3 linked regions of the Notamacropus eugenii genome follow. The protein of the gene in region 2 interacts with the protein of the main gene of each other region in a pairwise test. Links are inferred from orthologs where the notes say so. Each region holds a gene or a part of one and is shown on either strand. Other genes may lie near its edges.

Region 1 (5,876 bases), on a different chromosome or scaffold from region 2:
AATTAAGTGGAAACAGAATTCTAGTTGATAAGAGAGAGAAGGAATATTTAAGAAAAAAATCTGATAAACATACCATCTAAAATTTCAACTAAGGCACTGAGAAAAATGTTGAACATAACAGGATCAAGGAGAGAATCCTGGAGCATTAAACTTAAGACCCTTCTCTATAAACAGCCACTGACTAATTAGGCAATTATGACTAGCAAAGTCCCATCTTTCACATGTTTCTGAATCTTCCTAACTGGACTACCTTGTCCAAATACGTGTTATCTCTCTCGACCAAAAAATAAAGCATGGTAAATGCTTTGCTAAAATCCAGATACACTGAAACTATAGCATTTCTCTGGTTTACCAGTATAATAAACTTATTAAAAGAAAAAAAAAGAGAGGAGGAATGGTGTCAAGTCACTGTGACTTTTCAGAAAGACGAAACCCACTCGTACCTGTAATTTCATAACATCTCCACAAGCTGGAGCCCCCACCAATCCAGTGCCAACGTTTTTGGATTTCTTGTCAAGGGATCCTACATTTCTGGGATTCTCATAATGGTCAACCACCTGAAATGAGAAAATTGTAAAATAATAAATTTTCTAGCTCTAACGAAGAATTTCCTTCCCATACGGGAGGAGAGGGATCCAAGGCCTCTGTGAAATGCGGCTGCTTGTTAACTTGGGACCATAACATGAAGCCAACTCTCCATGAGAGATTACCTCCCCCCCTCAAACTGAGCAGCCACTTTTTAGTCTCTGGTTTCATCAAGACTGATGGGCTTCAGTCCCTCCGCTGGCTACTGCCTTACTTGGGGCACAAAGACCCATGTGATTCTCAGTATCTTCTGATGCCCCCACAACCCAAAGGCAGCACCACCACTTTTATCTGATTCGCTGGTCACCAGAGGGATGGGGATTGGAAATTCAACTTCACTGGTCTAGGGAACTCCCTCTACCAATGTGGGTTGGCACCTTATTTGCCACTCTTAGAGATCTGCCTAAAGCAGTGGAGTCTAACTCAAACAGGAATGGTCCGTGGCCACAAAATGCCTTCATTGTAAAGTGGGATATTATCTGATTGTATTTCTATGGGGTGCTGTGGGTCCTCTGACACCCTGGCCCAAGGCCTACCCCTAGGGCTGTCCATCTCTCATGGGTGCCCTGTATGCAGGGCTTGGGGCAATGGTACAGAATGTCTGGCACTAGAAGCCACAGAAGCTGGTGAGCGCGCTGAACAGATCCCCCCGGTGAAGAATGAAGGAAATAAAGGCATGCGAATCACAGGGATCAGGAGGTGCTGATGACATCATGGGTCCCCTGACGTACAAAGAGCAATTATCATCTCAGGTGATTCTGATCAGAAGCAGAAGTTGGCCAAAGTCTTCCCCAATGCACCTGGGAGGTGAGGGCACATGCAGGGACTCCCAGAAGGGTCCCCCCACCCTTACCTGCACGGGTCCCAAGAGAGGCCCACGAGGTGCAACCACAGAATCCTAACCCCCTAAACAAGTACACAGCCCCCTAGCTGGGCCCTGTGCCTGCTGTCTGCTGAAGCCTGGCCCCCAGGTAACTGCGGCACAGCGGGGCCTGGCAGGTGGGCCTGGCCAGGATGCTCTGGGAACCTCCAGGTCAGGAGGCACATGGGGAAAAAATCATTTCCTCCTCAGTTGTCTGTCACAACCCCATCTTCTGGCCAGGTGAATCTTCATGTCCCCAAGACACCTCAGAACAACTTCTGGCTGCTCCCCGAGGGCAAACCCGCTACCTTGAGAACACAGAGCTTTGTTACGGAGCTGTCTGGTCCTGGTGGTTCTTTCCAAAGAGAAGACCCCAGCAAGGAGGTGCATTGTAAGACTAAAGGTGGAATTTGCTTTAATATCTCTGGCCTACCCTGCACAGGTTACTTACAATGTCAGACTCCCTACCATTTTCTGTGTCACAGCCCAGAGCAAGAGGGACTTACTTCCTTATCGCAGACTCTGGCTGCTGAGCCAGCTCCAGGGCAACAAAAACCATCTTAGGGGTAGGGGAATGAATCCCCAGATTCAGGAAAAACAGGAAAACCCAGTCACAGATGCCCTGCTTCTTCTGAGGCAGGCTTGAGGTTGCTTTACCATCTGCCAGCAAAGACTCCAACGAGCCTGCTAAGCAGACTTCCAGGCCTTGTTTGGAATAGGTCATGACATATATCATGTGGCTGAGGAGTGGACTCGGTCACAATATCTCCAACACATCTGGGGACTGGACATCAGTGGATCAGATGTTCTTGTGAGGGTCAAAGCAGATGAGAGCAGTCAAAAGCTTCGCCAGCTTGAACATGCTGTATCAATGCTCCGTATCACTCACGGGAACCTGAGAGCTAGAAGGGGCCTTAGGGCTCATCTGAGCCCACCCTAATATCTGACACTATGGTTTCACAGGCACACCGTTTGTTTTCTTAAGAAAAAAACAAAATGACCTTAAGGCAGGGCCCAAAGAGGAACAGCACCCTCCATGCAAAAGTTGCTGGGCCTTCCTGACAATCTCCTGTAAAGGAGGATGTGATTTCACTGAGGAAGTGATTGGCTTGCCCTGCCTGCCCAGGGGCTGATCAGTGAGTACTGGGGGGGGGGGGTTGTGACCTGTCCCTGTTTTCCTGGCTTCTCACCTGGAGGTTTCCCCAGCCCCCCAGCACCAACATACCAGAGACTGGTGGGCCTGAAATGGAAGGACGAAGTGGGAAGTGAGGAGATCCAAGCTGACAGCAAGTCCCCTTCCCAATCTGAGTCCCGGCTTCCTGACAGTCTGACTTCCCTGGAGGCTACAGATTGATTCAGCAGGACTCATCACCAGCTGCAGCAGAGCTTTCTGCTTTAAGGCCAAACTGGCCTGTTGGGAGGCAGTGCTGGCTCATCTAGACCAGGAGGGTACTTAGGGATGATCTGCTCAGAATCCTTCCTGCTGATACAGTGGAAAGGAGCCCTGGATTCAGAATGGAGAAGCCTGGGTCAAATCCTGCCTCTGAGCCTGGAGACTGTGACTGCTGGGTCTTGGGCCTCCATCGACTTCCACCCCAAGCCAATTCCTGTTTCTAGATACCAGGTTTCTCATCTGTAAAATGGGGATAATAATCCTGGTACTGCTGACCTCATAGCAAAGTACTTTATAAAGCAGAACTGTAATAATTCCTTTAGGCAGCTCCTTTTCATGGCCCAGGGTGACCCTGGGCCCTTGTTGGTTATGCCAGCAGGTCCTGCATAGTGGAAAGGCTTGGAGAAGGAGCCTATTGTCTAAAGGTCAACCTAACTAAGTGCAAGTCAACATTAAGAGCCAACTGTGCACCATGTTCTGGGCACAGAAACTCACCACTAGCTTGGACAAAAGTTACCACGACCTTTACCTGTCAAAGACTGTTTATTAAAGCATGAAAGGACTGTCATCTGGCACTGGGAAAAGGAGAACTTGTGCTGTGATGAAACCACAAGGTATTTGAAGTATTTTCTGTTTAATGTGTATAACTCTAGACCCTCAAATGACACAGTAAAGCATTCTGATTTAACTGGAGGGAAGAGGTTAAGTCCAGCTCTGACATTTACTTCATGGAAGACCTTGTGTCCTCTCCGCCCCGTTTCCTCTTTTGTAAAATGAGGGGATGGGTAGATGTTCTCTGAGGTGCCCTCTAGTGTGGATATCAGCTATCCCAAGGGCAGGCAGCGGGTGTAATGGTGGATTCGGGGTCGGAAAGACCCCAAGTTCAAATTCCACTCCCGACGTTTACTGGGAGTGGGAGTGGGAGTGGGGCCCACTCATCAAGTGACTTTAGCTCTCCAGGTCTCTGTTTCCTCCAGGGTATCATGTGGGGGCTGATGGAGGTCAGCAGGTCTCCCTAAAGGTCTTACAATTCCTTCTTACGGGTTCTGTAACAGCACCAAGGTGCTCTAAAATACAACCACTTACGCCCCTTAGGTCAGGTTTTCTTCATATATTTTAACACTTTGCAACAGACTTGGACTCAACTGGACATTAAAGAGATGGGCAAGTACGTGTAAAACAAGGCCACTTTTCTGCCTAATTTCTTTTGTTTTGGGAAAGTTATTTTCTTTTGTAAAAAGTATGTTAGGATGACATGAGATTATAATTAAACGAATACTTTAAAAACTTAGGCGTTTTAATTTGTCACACGGTGCACAATAATATCACCCCTATTTTTTTAAAGCTCTTCGGGGCTCTCCGTGGCTCTGAGCATAAACTAGGCGCCCACGTTTCTGCCAGCTCCAAGAGGGGGCTTCTCTGAACCTCAGTTTCCTCCACCGTCAGAAAGGTGGGGGGAAGGACCCCGGCCTCCCCTGCCACAGCAGGGGGCCCGCTTTTTCTTCCCCGTTCTCAGGGGCGGGTCTTGGGGAAGGCTGCTGACCTCGGGCGGGCTTCCCGCCGACCTCCGGGCTTTCACGGAAGAGGGCACTGGCGGAGGGGCTTCCTCACCCGGGAGTTCCCCCCGGCCTCGGTCCCCACCCCAGTTTACCCGACATCAGGCCCAAAGCTGCCCCTCGCCCAGGGCCTGGCATACATAGGAGCTTATTAAATGCCCGTTTCCTCTACTTGACCCGGCGGCGTCCTAGGAGATGGCCCCTCCTAGGACTCGGCCTGCTCGGCGGACACGCGGACGACGCGCACGCGCACGCAGGGGGAGGGGCGCACGCGCAGGCGCAGTGGCCGCTTCTTTCTAACGGCGTCACCCAGGGTCTCCAACGTCCCCGCCTCCCCGGCCCAGGCGCTCCGCGGCCCTACCTTCTTGTGGTACAGCCGGGCCGGAGCCGAGAGCTCCCGGAGGGGAGGCCGCCGAGTGCCCAGGCACATCACCGAGGCCGCCCGCCTCAACCCTGCCAGGCCGGCCTTCGCCGCTGCCGCTGCCATGTTGTGTCGGAAGGCTGAACCACTGAGGAGGCGGGGCCGCGGCCGACGATCTGGGGGGCGGAGCTCAGACCGAGGGGGCGAGACCGAGGGGGCGGGGCCCAGGCCGGGAGGGTGGGGCTGAAGGAGAGGGGGTGGGGAGATGGAGGGGGCAGGACCCAGGACGGTAGGTCTCCGGAGAGAGGGAGGGGCGGTGCTGAGATGGAGGGGGCGGGGCCTATCTGGGGCGGAGCGAGGCCGAGGGAAAGGGGAGGGAGCGCGGGGCGGAGAGGAGGAGGAGGAGGGGGGGGGGGAGGAGGAAGGGAGGGCGGGGCTTCAGCGAGGGGGCAGAGTCGGGGAGGGGAAATGGAAGGGGAGGGGCGGGGAAATTGGGAGGTGAGCACTTGTGGCCCCGCCCCGCCCAGCGCTCCTCACGTGACTGCGCCCTCGCTGGCGCCCAGCCGGGTTTTGTCCTCCTGGCCACGCCCCTTTATCTCCCAGCAACGCCCGCGGGGAAAGTCCTGGGGGGGCGGGGCGGGGCGGGGCAAGGGTGCTTGAGTTGCCAGGGAGGAGAGAAGCGTGCTGATCTGGGCGATGACCCATTCTGCGGATGGGGAAACTGACGCTTGGTAGCTGGTCACGTGACCATAGGAGTCATTAAGAGCCTTTCATTATGTGCTGTATCTTTAATGTATGCAGTAACCATCATCCTTAGCGCTGAAAGCACTCACAAAGTAGGGGCTGGTCTGGTGCCTTTGACAGTGGAATCCCGCCCCAGACACCTGGTGTGTGACCTAGGCAGGTCACCCACCTCCGCCCTTTCTTCATCTGTGAAATGGAGATAATATGCACCTGCTTCAGGGGTGGGGGCAGTTGTGAGAATCCAAAGTGCTAGCATGTAAGAAGTGCTTTGCAAACTGAGACGTGCTCCAAGCACTGTGTCATCATTATAACATACGATGCCCCAGGTCATGAATGTGGATGGAAAAGCAAGTCTTATTGTCGCTAACTCCTAAA
Region 2 (5,876 bases):
CCCCAACCTCACAGCCCCAGCTCAGACAAGGAAGGAGACCTGCTCAGTCCTGCCTGGTATAGTGACTGGGACTCAGACATGAGCCTGGACCCCAACATGGGCCTCCCCTAAAGAGATGTCTCCCTGTAGGGAGACTGTGTATGTATATAAACGGGGGAAATGGGAAGGGCGGTGATTCTAAAGACCAGTTCCTTGTTAATAGACCAAAATGTCAAGGCTGCCCAAAGGTCTGACCCATGCCCTGGGAAAAGTACAGTTTGTGGGTCTGGCTGAACCAGGGTCTGAGAAGTTTATTTAGTGCTGACCAGCTCAAAATTTCCTGAACCCAAACTGGAGATTTCCAGGCTTCTGGAACTTCAGGCTCCCAAGGCCCCAAAACCTGGGCCAATGAGCAACACTGATGGTAGAACTCAGCCCTAGGAAGTTAGGGGCCTCAGCTCTTCCCCAGAATTACATCTTGAATAAACCAAAAGGCTGCCAAAATATGTTCTTGAAGAGTTTGTCTTTGTGATGTTCCAGCTTGTCCTTGTGTGGCGATCCAACCACCTCAAGTTGAGGCTGTGTTGTCCAAATCTCTGACCATGTCTGAGTAAAAGGCTGGAGTCCTAAGGATGGAGCCTGTGAATGGGCAAGTGGGAAACTGACAAGATGTGGGGGGAGGGAGAGAAGGGGTAGGCTCATAACATTCCGTGACTCTTCCCTGTCCCTCCCCCTCTCCCCTATCATTTGCCAGATTATGTCAGTTTACCTCCAGAACATCTTGGACCCTCTATTCACTCAGCTTCAACCCCAGCTCAAGACCTTACCACCTGCAACATCCTTCTGTTTGGCCCTCTTGCTTCTAGTCTCTCCCTTCTTGGTGGGGCCATCTCTAGTTGTCCTGATCTATATCTTGCCACTGGATCCAGATGGCTCTAGAGGAGAACATGAGGCTAGTGACCTTGCACAGCCCTGCCTCATTTAAATCCACTTCAGTTACATGTCATGGCTTTATCTTCCTAATGTCACGATCCTCTTCGAAAACAAGGGAAAACAACCTCTCCCCTTTCCAATCCCTCGTCCCCGAAGCTATCCCATGGATGACGATATTCCTAAAACACAAATCTGACCCTGTCATCTGCCTCCTCAAAAATCCTCAGTGGCTCCCAACCTAGAATTTGAGACCCATGACAACATGGCTCTCAACCATTTCCAGTCTGTCTTCCATTTTACTCTCACAATCCTAGGCCCAATCAAACTAGCTGTTCCCCACATACAACCCTCTCCTACCTCCATCCCTTTCCCCAAGTGCTGTCTCAAGTCTAGAATACTGTCCTCCTTCACCAGTGCCCCTTTCAGGTGTCGCCTGCTACATGAAATCATATCTGTTTCCCCCTTATTAGCATTCTCACTCTTGAAATTAGTTTGTATGCATCTTGTATTAACCTTTATTTATCCATGCTGTATTTCCTCAGAATATAAGCTCCTTGAGGACAGACTTTTTTTTTTCTTTTCGTAAAAAGCAGATGTTTGTTGACTTAAATTTTATTGAATGAGAGAGAGAGAGAGGGAATCAAAGTCTGGGGGAACTGGATGTGACGGGATGTTAGAGGCAATGCTCAGGTCCCTGGGAAGGGTGTGAGGGAAGGATGCTCCAGGAGCCCCAAGAGTCCTGTGAAAGAGAGTTCTGTGGCTTTTGCCGGCAGAGGGAGTGCCTGACTTAGGGAAACTCTTCTTTACTCGCCTGTCCCTGCAAGCCGAAGGACCAGAGACAGCGAAAGATGCTGGGAAGAATCGATGTGCTGGAGGCCTCAGGGGCTCTCCTAGGCTGGACTCCATCCCTTCCTAGATGCTGAGTCCCAGAGGCCCTGGCCAGCGCAGCCCACCCTTCCTCTCTCAGTTCAGGCTCAGCCCGGACCGGCGACTTCACGGATTCCAGATGCCCTAATACGTCCCCCAGTTATCCCCTCTGGAAGCAGCCCCTATCCCTACCGCACCCTCATCATCCCCAGAAATAAGAGGAAGGGAGGGAGGACGTTAGGGGTCCTGGGGAGTTGGGGTCCCAAGATGGACGGGGATGGAGGCTCAGGCCCGGCTCCAGCGCCCCCCTGCCGGGCGATGTGGTCCTGTCCGCCCCCCAGCCTGGGTCCCGCGTCCCGAGTCCCGCATCCCACGCGGTGTCCGGGGGGGCGGGGTCTGCAGCGCCGGCGCCGCCCGGAGCGGGCTGGGAGAGGTGGCCACGCGTGGGCGAGCGGGCGCTGGAGCCGGGGGCGGGGGTCGGGCCGGCGGTGGTGGCGGCGGCTCCGGCGGGAGGGAGGCGGGAGGCGGGAGGCGGGCGCTGCGCGAGCGATGTGTGAGCGGGCGGCGCGCCTCTGCAGGGCCGGCGCGCACAGACTGCTCCGGGAGCCGCCGCCGCAGGGCCGGGCGCTGGGGGGGCTGCTCCGCTGGGTGGGAGCCAGGATGGGCGAACCCCGGGAGCCGCTGGCCGACGGGCCGGGGGCCGGGACTGGCCACGGGCTCTGTCCCACCCCGCCGACGGCCCCGTCCCCGCCCCGGAGGGGCACCTCGGTCATCCTGGACGTGAGTAGCACCGGACCCTGTCCGGAGCCCCTCCCCGGCCCGGACTTCTGCCCCCTCCTCCTCGCACCCCCTCCCCAAAGCTTTCTTCCTCTCCTCCACCTCTCCCCATCCCTACACTGTCTCCCCTACGGTCTCAGCATCTCTGATCTCCGCACGATCTTAGTTCCCCCTTCTCAGCCATCCCTAGCCCCCTGCTTCCCGGTCTCCCATCCTTAGGGATCCCCATGAAAGCTTCTCCTTCTCCCAGGGACTCTCTCCCCTCCCTTTTCTCCGTAAATCAGATCCTGCTCCCTTTCGCATCCCGAGGGATCCTCATTTCCCACCCCATCCCATTTTCCTGCCTCTCCACCCCCATCCCACCACCACCCTCTCCTCCTCTCCCAAGACAGAGCCCCGAGCGTTTCCCCAGTCCTAGACTTCTCTGAATCTGCAGCCCTTCCCTGCACCCAGACATCCTCACTGGGACAGTCCCTTCCCTAAATCCTGCCGCTTTCCTCAATACTCTCCCTAGCCCAGTCCCTCTCCAGAGTTCCTCCTCCTAGTAGGACTCTCTGACCCCCCACCCCCAGTCTCCCTTCTTCTCCTAGGACCTGGTTCCGCACCTTGAACACCTCCCCTCTACAGCCCCAGCTTTGGGGATCTGTTTAGATGGGGTCGCGTTTAAGGGGGTGATTGGGGAATGCTGAGTCCAGGTGGTTTGGTTCATTCAGTGTAGACTTGATGGTTACGGGGCGGGGTCGAGGGGGTAGATTTCTGGGGTCCCCTTTCCTTCCCAACTAAATGGGGCTCAGACTCACGCTCTTTCTTCCCAGCAGTGGTGGATGTATGTGTACAGAAAGTGTGCATCTGTTTGGGGAGGAGGAAGGGATGAGATGTTTCTATGAGAAAGATCGAACTCAGAACTTCCTCACCTTTTAAGGGTCACTTCCGAATTTCCTTTCAGAGTCATGGAGGAGAAGTTCTGAGTATCCCCTAGTTGACCGGACCCTGCAAGACCCTGCATTTATAAAAAGAGTTTGGATTGGATGACTTATGGGATTCTAGTCTCTAAGATTCTACTTGAATCAGACTACGCTTCTGTTTCCTTACATATTAGAAAGGGGACGGGCTCTTATCCTTTATCTCTTACCCTAACCCCCTCCTCAGAAATCAGATATCGACGGATAGCAAATGATTTTCAATCTGGTAACAAGAGACTACTCAAGGAATGAGGAATCTAAGGGCAAAAACCATCCAGGCAGAAAATCATGGGAGGAAAATACACAGATCCCACTATGTTGCTCTTAGACAATTTGTCACTTGAAGATCTAGGTGGTGGTGGTGGTGGTAGTAGTAGTAATAACTCACATTTCTTTAACATTTAGAGAGTGTTTTCCCACAACTCTGTCAGTTAGAGCAAGTATTAATATCTCTGATGAGGAAACTGAGGTTCTCAGCAGGGAAATTATTTGCCAATATCACACAAGTATTAGAGCTGGGATTAGAATGCAGGGTCTTTCTATTGTATCATTCCGCCAGCCCTTCCCCCCACCCTTTGAACCCTGGTTCATCATTGTGTGGCCTTTGTTTCTCTTCTAGACTCTCCCAGGTCCTATGGGAGGACCCCACTGGCAGCTCACCCAGTCACAGAGATAGTAGGTCCTATGTATCTGAGTCTCCAGTCTTTTGCCTATTCTCAAAAGACTGCTTGGTGTATGCCAGCACCTTCACTGCTTCTAAATATCTGACATCGAAATCAAAGTGATCCCCAATGCACAGAAATTTGGGACCCTAGTTATTCTACCCTCAGCCCCACTTATCACCAAGTGCCAGAAGAGGAATAATTAGAATTGGGTCATTCTGATGTTTAGTACTTGGAACCAGAGAAACTATTTGCTCAACTGGGTCAGGGAAGGCTTTATTCAACCCAGGTTTTAGAGAGGGAGAAAAAGAAAAAAATAGCTCTGACCCTCCTTCTAACAGCACATAGTAGGGGCTTAATAAAGGATAGTGGACTGACTCACTGACTCTTACCCCCAAAACAATCTTCTCAGGATGCCCCACTACTAAGGGCAGCTTAATTGCTGCTAGGTGATAGAGCACCAGATCTGCAGTCAGGAAGACGAGTTCAAATCCTAACCCAGGTGCTTATTATCTATGTCACTTCTGCTCTATCTGCCTCAGTTTCTTCCTCTGCAAAATGGGGATGATAATAATACTAGCACCTACCTCATGGGATGGTTGTGAGGATCAGGTGAAACAATGTCTGAAAAATGCTTTGCAAACCTTAAAACACTTTGTGTAAACTAGAGACCCCCTCCCCCAACTTGCTGGCTTACATCTTGTTGAAATGGCCTCCCCAAAGTCTGACCTGGTCCCTGGGAGAACTGGGGGCTCCTGAAATTTCTGCCTCATGTCCTCTGGTACCCAGAGGAGAATCCATCCTTTGGACACTTGAATGTGAGGGTGTGTGTGGCTGTGTGTGCTTATATAACTCTATAAATTCCTTCTAGCTCAAAATTCTATGATCCGTTTGTGTGTATGTGTGTGTGTGTGTGTGTGTGTGTGTGTGTGTGTGTGTGTGTGTGTCTCCAAGCGTGGAACACAGGCCGTACAGATAAGGCAGAGCACAGGGATGCCCTCATGCATAGGCACAATAGAAAATCCTTTCTGTAGTTTGAGTCAAAGGGGATACCACAACTAAAATAATTCCCCTACCTACCTTCCACAGGTGGGTGTCTGAAAATCCACCTTTGATACTTATTCCTTGGGATTTCTTCCAGGATTCTCTTTTTAATTAAAATAGAGAAAATTGGTTTGAGGAAGAATAGGAGAGGAGCTGAGAAGATTGACCACTTCACAGTTTTGTCTGGGGCTGACCTTATTTATATAAGGGGATATATGTGTGTGTGACTATATGTTAATTGTGTATCTGTGATTGTGACTGTGACTCTGCATGTATGTATGAATGGCTGTGGCCACATCCATAGGTGAGTGTGACTCCATGTGTATATTAATATATAAGTTTCTGAGATTACTTCAATCCAACTTATTTCCTTGACCATTCAGATGGGTAAAAGGGGCTGGGGAACAGGCCCTGAGAGCAGGGAAATGGGAGTATTTTCCTTCTTCCTCAAAATTAACCTAGACTCTCTCTCCTCTCTTTGCAGATTTTCCGCCGGGCTGACAAGAATGGTGAGTACTCCTTGGCAAAGCTCAGCATAGGAAGAGGGGAAGAGAGCCTAGTTCAGGGGTCCTTAACCAATGGTCTGTGAACTTATTTTTAAAATATTTTGATAACTATATTTCAATATAACTGGCTTCCTTTGTAATCCTAC
Region 3 (5,876 bases), on a different chromosome or scaffold from region 2:
TTCATAGCATATCACTACTAGGAAGCTTTCCAAGCCAGTTTTTTACTTTAATTTCTAGTATGATCCAAGAATACTATCCTTTATACTATAAACATACTCTATATAGAGAGACACATTTGACTGCCTCCCTACACACAATTTACCCCTTTCTACTTATCAGAAATTTCTTTAAGAGGCAGCTAGGTGGCACAGTGGATAGAGCACCAGCTCTGGAGTCTGGAGGACCCGAGTTCAAATTCATCCTCAGACACTCCATATTTACTAGCTGTGTGAAGCTAGGCAAGTCACTTAACCCTGATTACACACTTCCCCCACAAAAAAAGGAAAAAAAAAATTATCTACCGAGCATTCTCTCCCCTTTGCTTCCTACCAGAACCATCGCTTCCTTCTAGACTTGACTCATGACTTACTCTCCTCCCAGAAATCTCGAGAACCTTCCCTATTCGAATCCACCCTGACCAGATCATTCCTATGCTCCATTATCCCACCCAGCAATAAAATGAGTACTTTGTTCTTCTGAATTAGTTACTGCTTTTGATAATGACTTTTATCCACACTGTATACAGTGTTTGTTGCCGTTGTTCAGTGGTTTCATGTCTGACTCTTTGTGACCCCATTTGAAGTTTTCTTGGGAAAGATACTGTAGTGGTTTGCCATTTCCTTCTCCAGTTCATTTTTTTACAGATGAGGAACTGAGGCAAACAGGGTTAAGTGACTTTGGGTCACAGGCACAATAAGTGTCTGAGGCCAGATTTGAATTCACAAAGATAAGTCTTCCTGACTCCAAGTCTGCACTCTATCCACTGCACCACCTAGCTGCCCCATCTCCCAAGTTGTAAAAGCTTCACATTGCAGGTCAGTGACTGCAATGGAATGTGTGTTTGCTGTCTAAGGACTGGTCTAGTTAGCTCAGAAAAAAAGCCAGCTATCTTGTGATAAGGTTGTGGGCCACAGCAAATTATTATCACATACTGAGGTGTGCAGAGGGGACATTTTGTTTCAGTTGAGGATGTACACATCCTATGATATGACATCACAGATCTTTAAGTATATTTTATAGATGTACCTATAACCTCCCCCATCAGATCCAGATGCATCATAGATGAAAAGCTAACTGGGACTTTGCTTATTTAGTCCAATTTCCTTCATTGTACAGGTGAAAAAGTGCGCTTGGATTTAAACCCAGGCACTCTGATTCTTTGTACTAAATCATCCTGCCACTGTTAAATCATACCAGGATGTAACACACACCCAGGTCCGCAACTCAGGATACACGACTGGATACTGTAGCAGAAACTAGATACTTATACTAAAGATGACGATGATGATAATCTTTTCTATTTGCAAATAACTTTCTAGTTAAGCCGAGAATAGCAGTAAATCATTGTTTGGGATCTAGGTTTTCAACACGTCACTTTATAAAACTGGCAAAGCACTTTCATGTATTATTATCTTCATGTTACAAATGAGAAAACCGAGTCTGGAAAGAGGGTAAGTGACATGCTCAGTCTCCCACAGCTAGTAAATGTCTCCGGTAAGATTAGCACTCAGGCCCTCCCAACTCTAACCGATCTGCCTCGGTGCCTCAGTGCCCCGGTGCCCTCTACAAAAGGCGGCAGTTCCTCCTGGCTCTGACACCCTGGGCTAACAGCTCCGACTCTCAAAATAGGCCTGCGATTATTAGCCTCATTCTGGAGATACGGAGAAATGAGGGAGCTGGCCAAGGTCACCAGGGTGGTTGGGGCCGGGGCCGGGGGACAGAGACCGAACCCAGGGCTCCTGACTCCCAGCCCCGGGACGGCCTCTGGAATGCGCCCAGCGGGCCTCACGCCCCTCGCGCCGCCCCCTGCTCCCGCAGGCCCGCGCCGCGGGGCCCAAGCTCGGAAACCCCCGCAGGCCGGTTACCTGGGCGGCAGCGTGCGGGCCGGCGGCCAGGCGGAGCGAGCCCAAGGCTCGGCACAGCGCCCGCAGCGCCATCGCGGGGATCAGCTCTCCACGCCGTCTGCCCGCTTCACCCCGGCGCCTTCTGATGACGCAACGCCCCGGGTCCGAGGACGCCGGGAGGGCTGGAGGGGTGGGTCCAGGTACGCCGAAGTCGGCCCCCTGGGGCGTCGCTGCCCACAACCAGTCCCGGAGAGGTTTCTTACCCGCGTGACCCGAGGTAGACTCCGCCCCCAGGAGCCGTCAAAACAATTGCCTTGAGCGACGGCCATGTTGGATTTAAGGGGGCAGTACCTGCGGGGGAATCGGGCGGACCGCTGGACAGACGGACATACCAAGGGTGAGTCTCTGGCAGAATTCCCTCTTCTCCCTTCCTCTCCCCCCAGTCAGAGAGGCTGGGGACCCAGATCCCACCCTGGCACCCGCAGACTGAGAGAGACACCTCCGGAACAGACAAACGGACACACCCTCCCCTCCTTCTCTCTCGAGGACGGACACCTAAGCACACTCACTTCCTTCTTGGACAGACCGACGGACACATCCACATCCTCACTCCCTCCTGAGATAGACGGACGCCTCACCCCTTCATGGTCAGACACACTTCCACCTCCTCTTTGGACAGACAGGCAGACACACGTACACCTTCTCACCCCCTCCTTGGACAGACCGTCACACACACCCCCCCCCCCCTCACTTCTTCCTTGGGCAGACACCCTCACTGTTTCTTAGGACACACAGACACATACTCTTACTTCTCCTTGGATTGTATAGGTACACATATGGACGTAAACATCCATCCATCCTTAGTTCCTCTTTGATAGATACATACGTGCCCTCATTTCCTTCTAGGACAGACAGACAGATGCATACCTTCGTCCCCAGCTAGGACAAGTAGATACATACACATCCCCACTCCCTTCTAGGGCAGACATACATAAAAACATCTTCATTCCTTCCTAGGATGAAGAGGCAGACCGACATACACATATAATCATTCCCTAGTAGGACAGTTTCTCTCCTAATCCTTCTCTCTCCCAGACTTTTACCCACTCTCATGGGGCAGGCACTCATCTCCAGACAGATACCCTTCCCTCCCGCCAAGACAAACAAACTTGGTCCTCTCTTCCTCTTGAACAGATAGATACATACTTATTACTTTGTTTCCTCAGGTCCACTACTGACTCCTTGGGCAAGAGACAAATAGATTCCCCTATCTCTACCCTGAGACACACACACACATTCTGTCAGGCTAGAGAGAAGGTAACATATGTACCTATTTTATATTACATTAGTATATGTCACATATGATATTATTATAGCTTATATAAGTACTATAACTATTATAGCTCCCGGGATTGACAAACCCACCCACTATACCTAGATAGGTAGGGGGTTATGTGTCTTCTCTTCTCTCCCCAGCCCATTCAGGAAGCCATAGCTACTAGTGAACCCCGAAGATTCAGACCATAATGCTCTTACTCTTAGGCAGACATTCTGCTTTCCTAGTTTGTCTTAGGAAAATAAGACGAGTTTGCAAGTTAGTAAATGTTGCTCTCCAGTACTGGGGAGTTACCCCTTACTTTAGTTGCCTGGGGGTAGAGGTGGGAAGAACAAAGCAGAATGAGAGTATCCTCTTCGGTTTCCACCTGAACAGACCCTTGTACTCACACCTCCCTCTAGGCACAAGGATCCTTCTTGACTAATAAACCGGGGCAAACAGAACTTTGCTCTTTCTTAGGTTTCCAAGCAAGCTTTCTCCTTATTCATGCTTATTTCCCTTTAGGGGATCTGAGCCCAGGGCTGACGTAGTGTTTCTTGGGGGAAATAGGAGAGAAGGATCTTTTGGAGGGCTTGGGGCCTGGGCACGAAGCAAAGGAAACGTCTTTTATTCTAGGTGGGGCTCTGTGACAGGTGCTTAGAATAGTAGTGGGGGAGGGGGGTTGGGGTGGTACTGGACTCTTGGACTTTGTATAGGGCGTCTCCCAGTCTGCTGAGCTGAGCGAGGTTCTTTCTGGCTCCTAGCTTTCTGGCTCTTGGCTCCTGCCTCAGCCCTGCAGTCCAAGGCTTTGCCCTTGGTTGGGGTAATAGGACTTGGGGCAATGACTGGTTCATGAGGAGGAAGAAGAGAGTTGAAAATAAGAATTGGAGGAGGAGAAGTAGGGATAACTAGGGCTGAGTGAAGTTGGGCTCAAGGCGCCTTGAGTAGCTAAGAGAAATAAAGGATTAAACCTGCATGGAGACAACCGTGTCCAACCCTTGGAGCTGAGGCCTCGTCAGTCTCTTTTATACTGTGAGAACTGTTACTTCTCTTTCTCCTTCTTTAGAGCTTAGTTATCATCTGCCTTTCTTTCTTCTTCTGTGTTATTCCTTTCACTGACCTCCTTTACCATCTCTCTCTCTCCCAATGTCAAGTCCTGGTTTTTCCTCCGAAACCCATTATCCCTCCCCTTTATACACCAGCCTCTTCCTTTCCACTTTCTATAATGTTTCTATGTTTCTCCTGTCCAACACTTTCCTCACCTCTGAGGTCCATTGCTCCTCCTACCCTGTCTTTTCTGCTGAACTTTACTCATCTCCAGTTTTATTCTCCACCCACTGAGTTTTGCTTTCTGTAGTATACTCAGTTCTTTCTATGTTCTTACTCTCATAGTGATATGTTTTTCCACAAACCAAAATTGTTACAGCTCTCTCTCCTCCTCTGTCTCTCTCTGTCTTATGATTTCTCCCCAGCTCAGGTTGGAATCCCCTGACCCAGGATGTCGGGGCTGGTGCTGGGACAGCGGGAAGAACCATCAGTGTCCCGGTTGAGCCAGGAGGAGATCCTGGGGAGCACTCGTCTGGTGAGCCAGGGCTTGGAAGCACTGAGAAGCGAACACCAGGCAGTATTACAGAGCCTGGCTCATGCTATTCAGTGCCTGCAGCATGAAGGCCATGAAGCTGGACTGGTACATGAGAAGGCCCGGCAGCTTCGCCGATCCATGGAAAACATTGAGCTGGGTCTGGGGGAGGCACAGGTGAGATTGCGGAGATGGAGAAATAGAGGGCTGGAATGGAGGATAGGATAAGACTAAGATTTCAAGGGAAGGATGAGTGGGTTTGTGAGGAAAATTTGGGACTAAGAGCTGGAAGAAAGGGACAATTTAATGGAAAAAAAATAAGGGAGGTATGTGTTATGGAGAGAGGAAGGTCAGTAAAAAGGGTCCTGTCAATTTTATCATTGTAACATCTCTTGTATATGCCCCTTGCTCCCCTCTGACACTGTGACCACTTTGGTGCAGACCTTCAGTACCTTACATCTGGATGATTGCAATAGCCTTCTATGTGGTTTCTCTACCACAAATTTCTATCCACTCAAAATCTGTCTTCTACTCAGTTGTGATTCTCCTAAAGCATAGGTCTGACCTTGTCATCCTTCTGTTTAATAAACTCAAAGTAGTTCCCTTTTACCTCCAAGATAAATGATAAAATCCTCTGTTGGCTTTTAAAGCCTTTCATAATTTGGTCTCTTCCTACGTTTACAATCTAAATACACTATATTGTTTTCTACTTCACAGTCCTGTGACACTGGCTTGCCAGCTGTTCTTCAAGCATGACGTGCCATGTTCCCACTCACAGGTTCTCTCCCTTGGCCAGAATTCTGTTCTTTCTCATCTCTGTCTTCTGGCTTCTCAACCTTCAAGTCTCATGGGAAACCTTTCTCAGCTCTAATGCAGCAGTACCTTTCTCTGTTGAGTTATCTTGTATATCATTTGTTTATACAAAGTCGTTTGCATATTGTCTTCTAATTAGACTGTGAGTCCTGTGAGGTCAGAGACTGCCTTTTTGCCATTCTTTATATCTCCAACCACTTGGCCCAGTGCCTGCTACACAGTATATATTTAATAAGTGCTTATTCACTTGACTTAAGTAAAAGAGGTAAAGGACAGAGCAGAGGA

The links.
Region 1: the proteins of NECAB2 (region 2) and ISCU interact in binary tests that used the Homo sapiens proteins (3 or more experiments, as listed by UniProt). The two-hybrid records come from large-scale screens. The link is inferred for Notamacropus eugenii from reciprocal best matches to the Homo sapiens genes NECAB2 and ISCU.
Region 3: the proteins of NECAB2 (region 2) and KLC4 interact in binary tests that used the Homo sapiens proteins (3 or more experiments, as listed by UniProt). The two-hybrid records come from large-scale screens. The link is inferred for Notamacropus eugenii from reciprocal best matches to the Homo sapiens genes NECAB2 and KLC4.

What each region holds. Positions count from the first base shown.
Region 1 is NC_092875.1:23,477,619-23,483,494, forward strand, and holds the start of ISCU (iron-sulfur cluster assembly enzyme ISCU), read right to left. Parts: upstream 2,911-5,876; 5' UTR 2,817-2,910; coding exon 2,673-2,816; intron 558-2,672; coding exon 444-557; intron 1-443.
Region 2 is NC_092872.1:697,732,398-697,738,273, forward strand, and holds the start of NECAB2 (N-terminal EF-hand calcium-binding protein 2), read left to right. Parts: upstream 1-2,328; coding exon 2,329-2,559; intron 2,560-5,708; coding exon 5,709-5,733; intron 5,734-5,876. UniProt on the Homo sapiens protein: May act as a signaling scaffold protein that senses intracellular calcium.
Region 3 is NC_092873.1:105,962,862-105,968,737, forward strand, and holds the start of KLC4 (kinesin light chain 4), read left to right. Parts: upstream 1-2,172; 5' UTR 2,173-2,281; intron 2,282-3,110; exon of another isoform or gene 3,111-3,201; intron 3,202-4,154; exon of another isoform or gene 4,155-4,231; intron 4,232-4,671; exon of another isoform or gene 4,672-4,676; 5' UTR 4,677-4,697; coding exon 4,698-4,955; intron 4,956-5,876. Other genes in the region: MRPL2 (large ribosomal subunit protein uL2m), read right to left, coding at 1,906-1,977.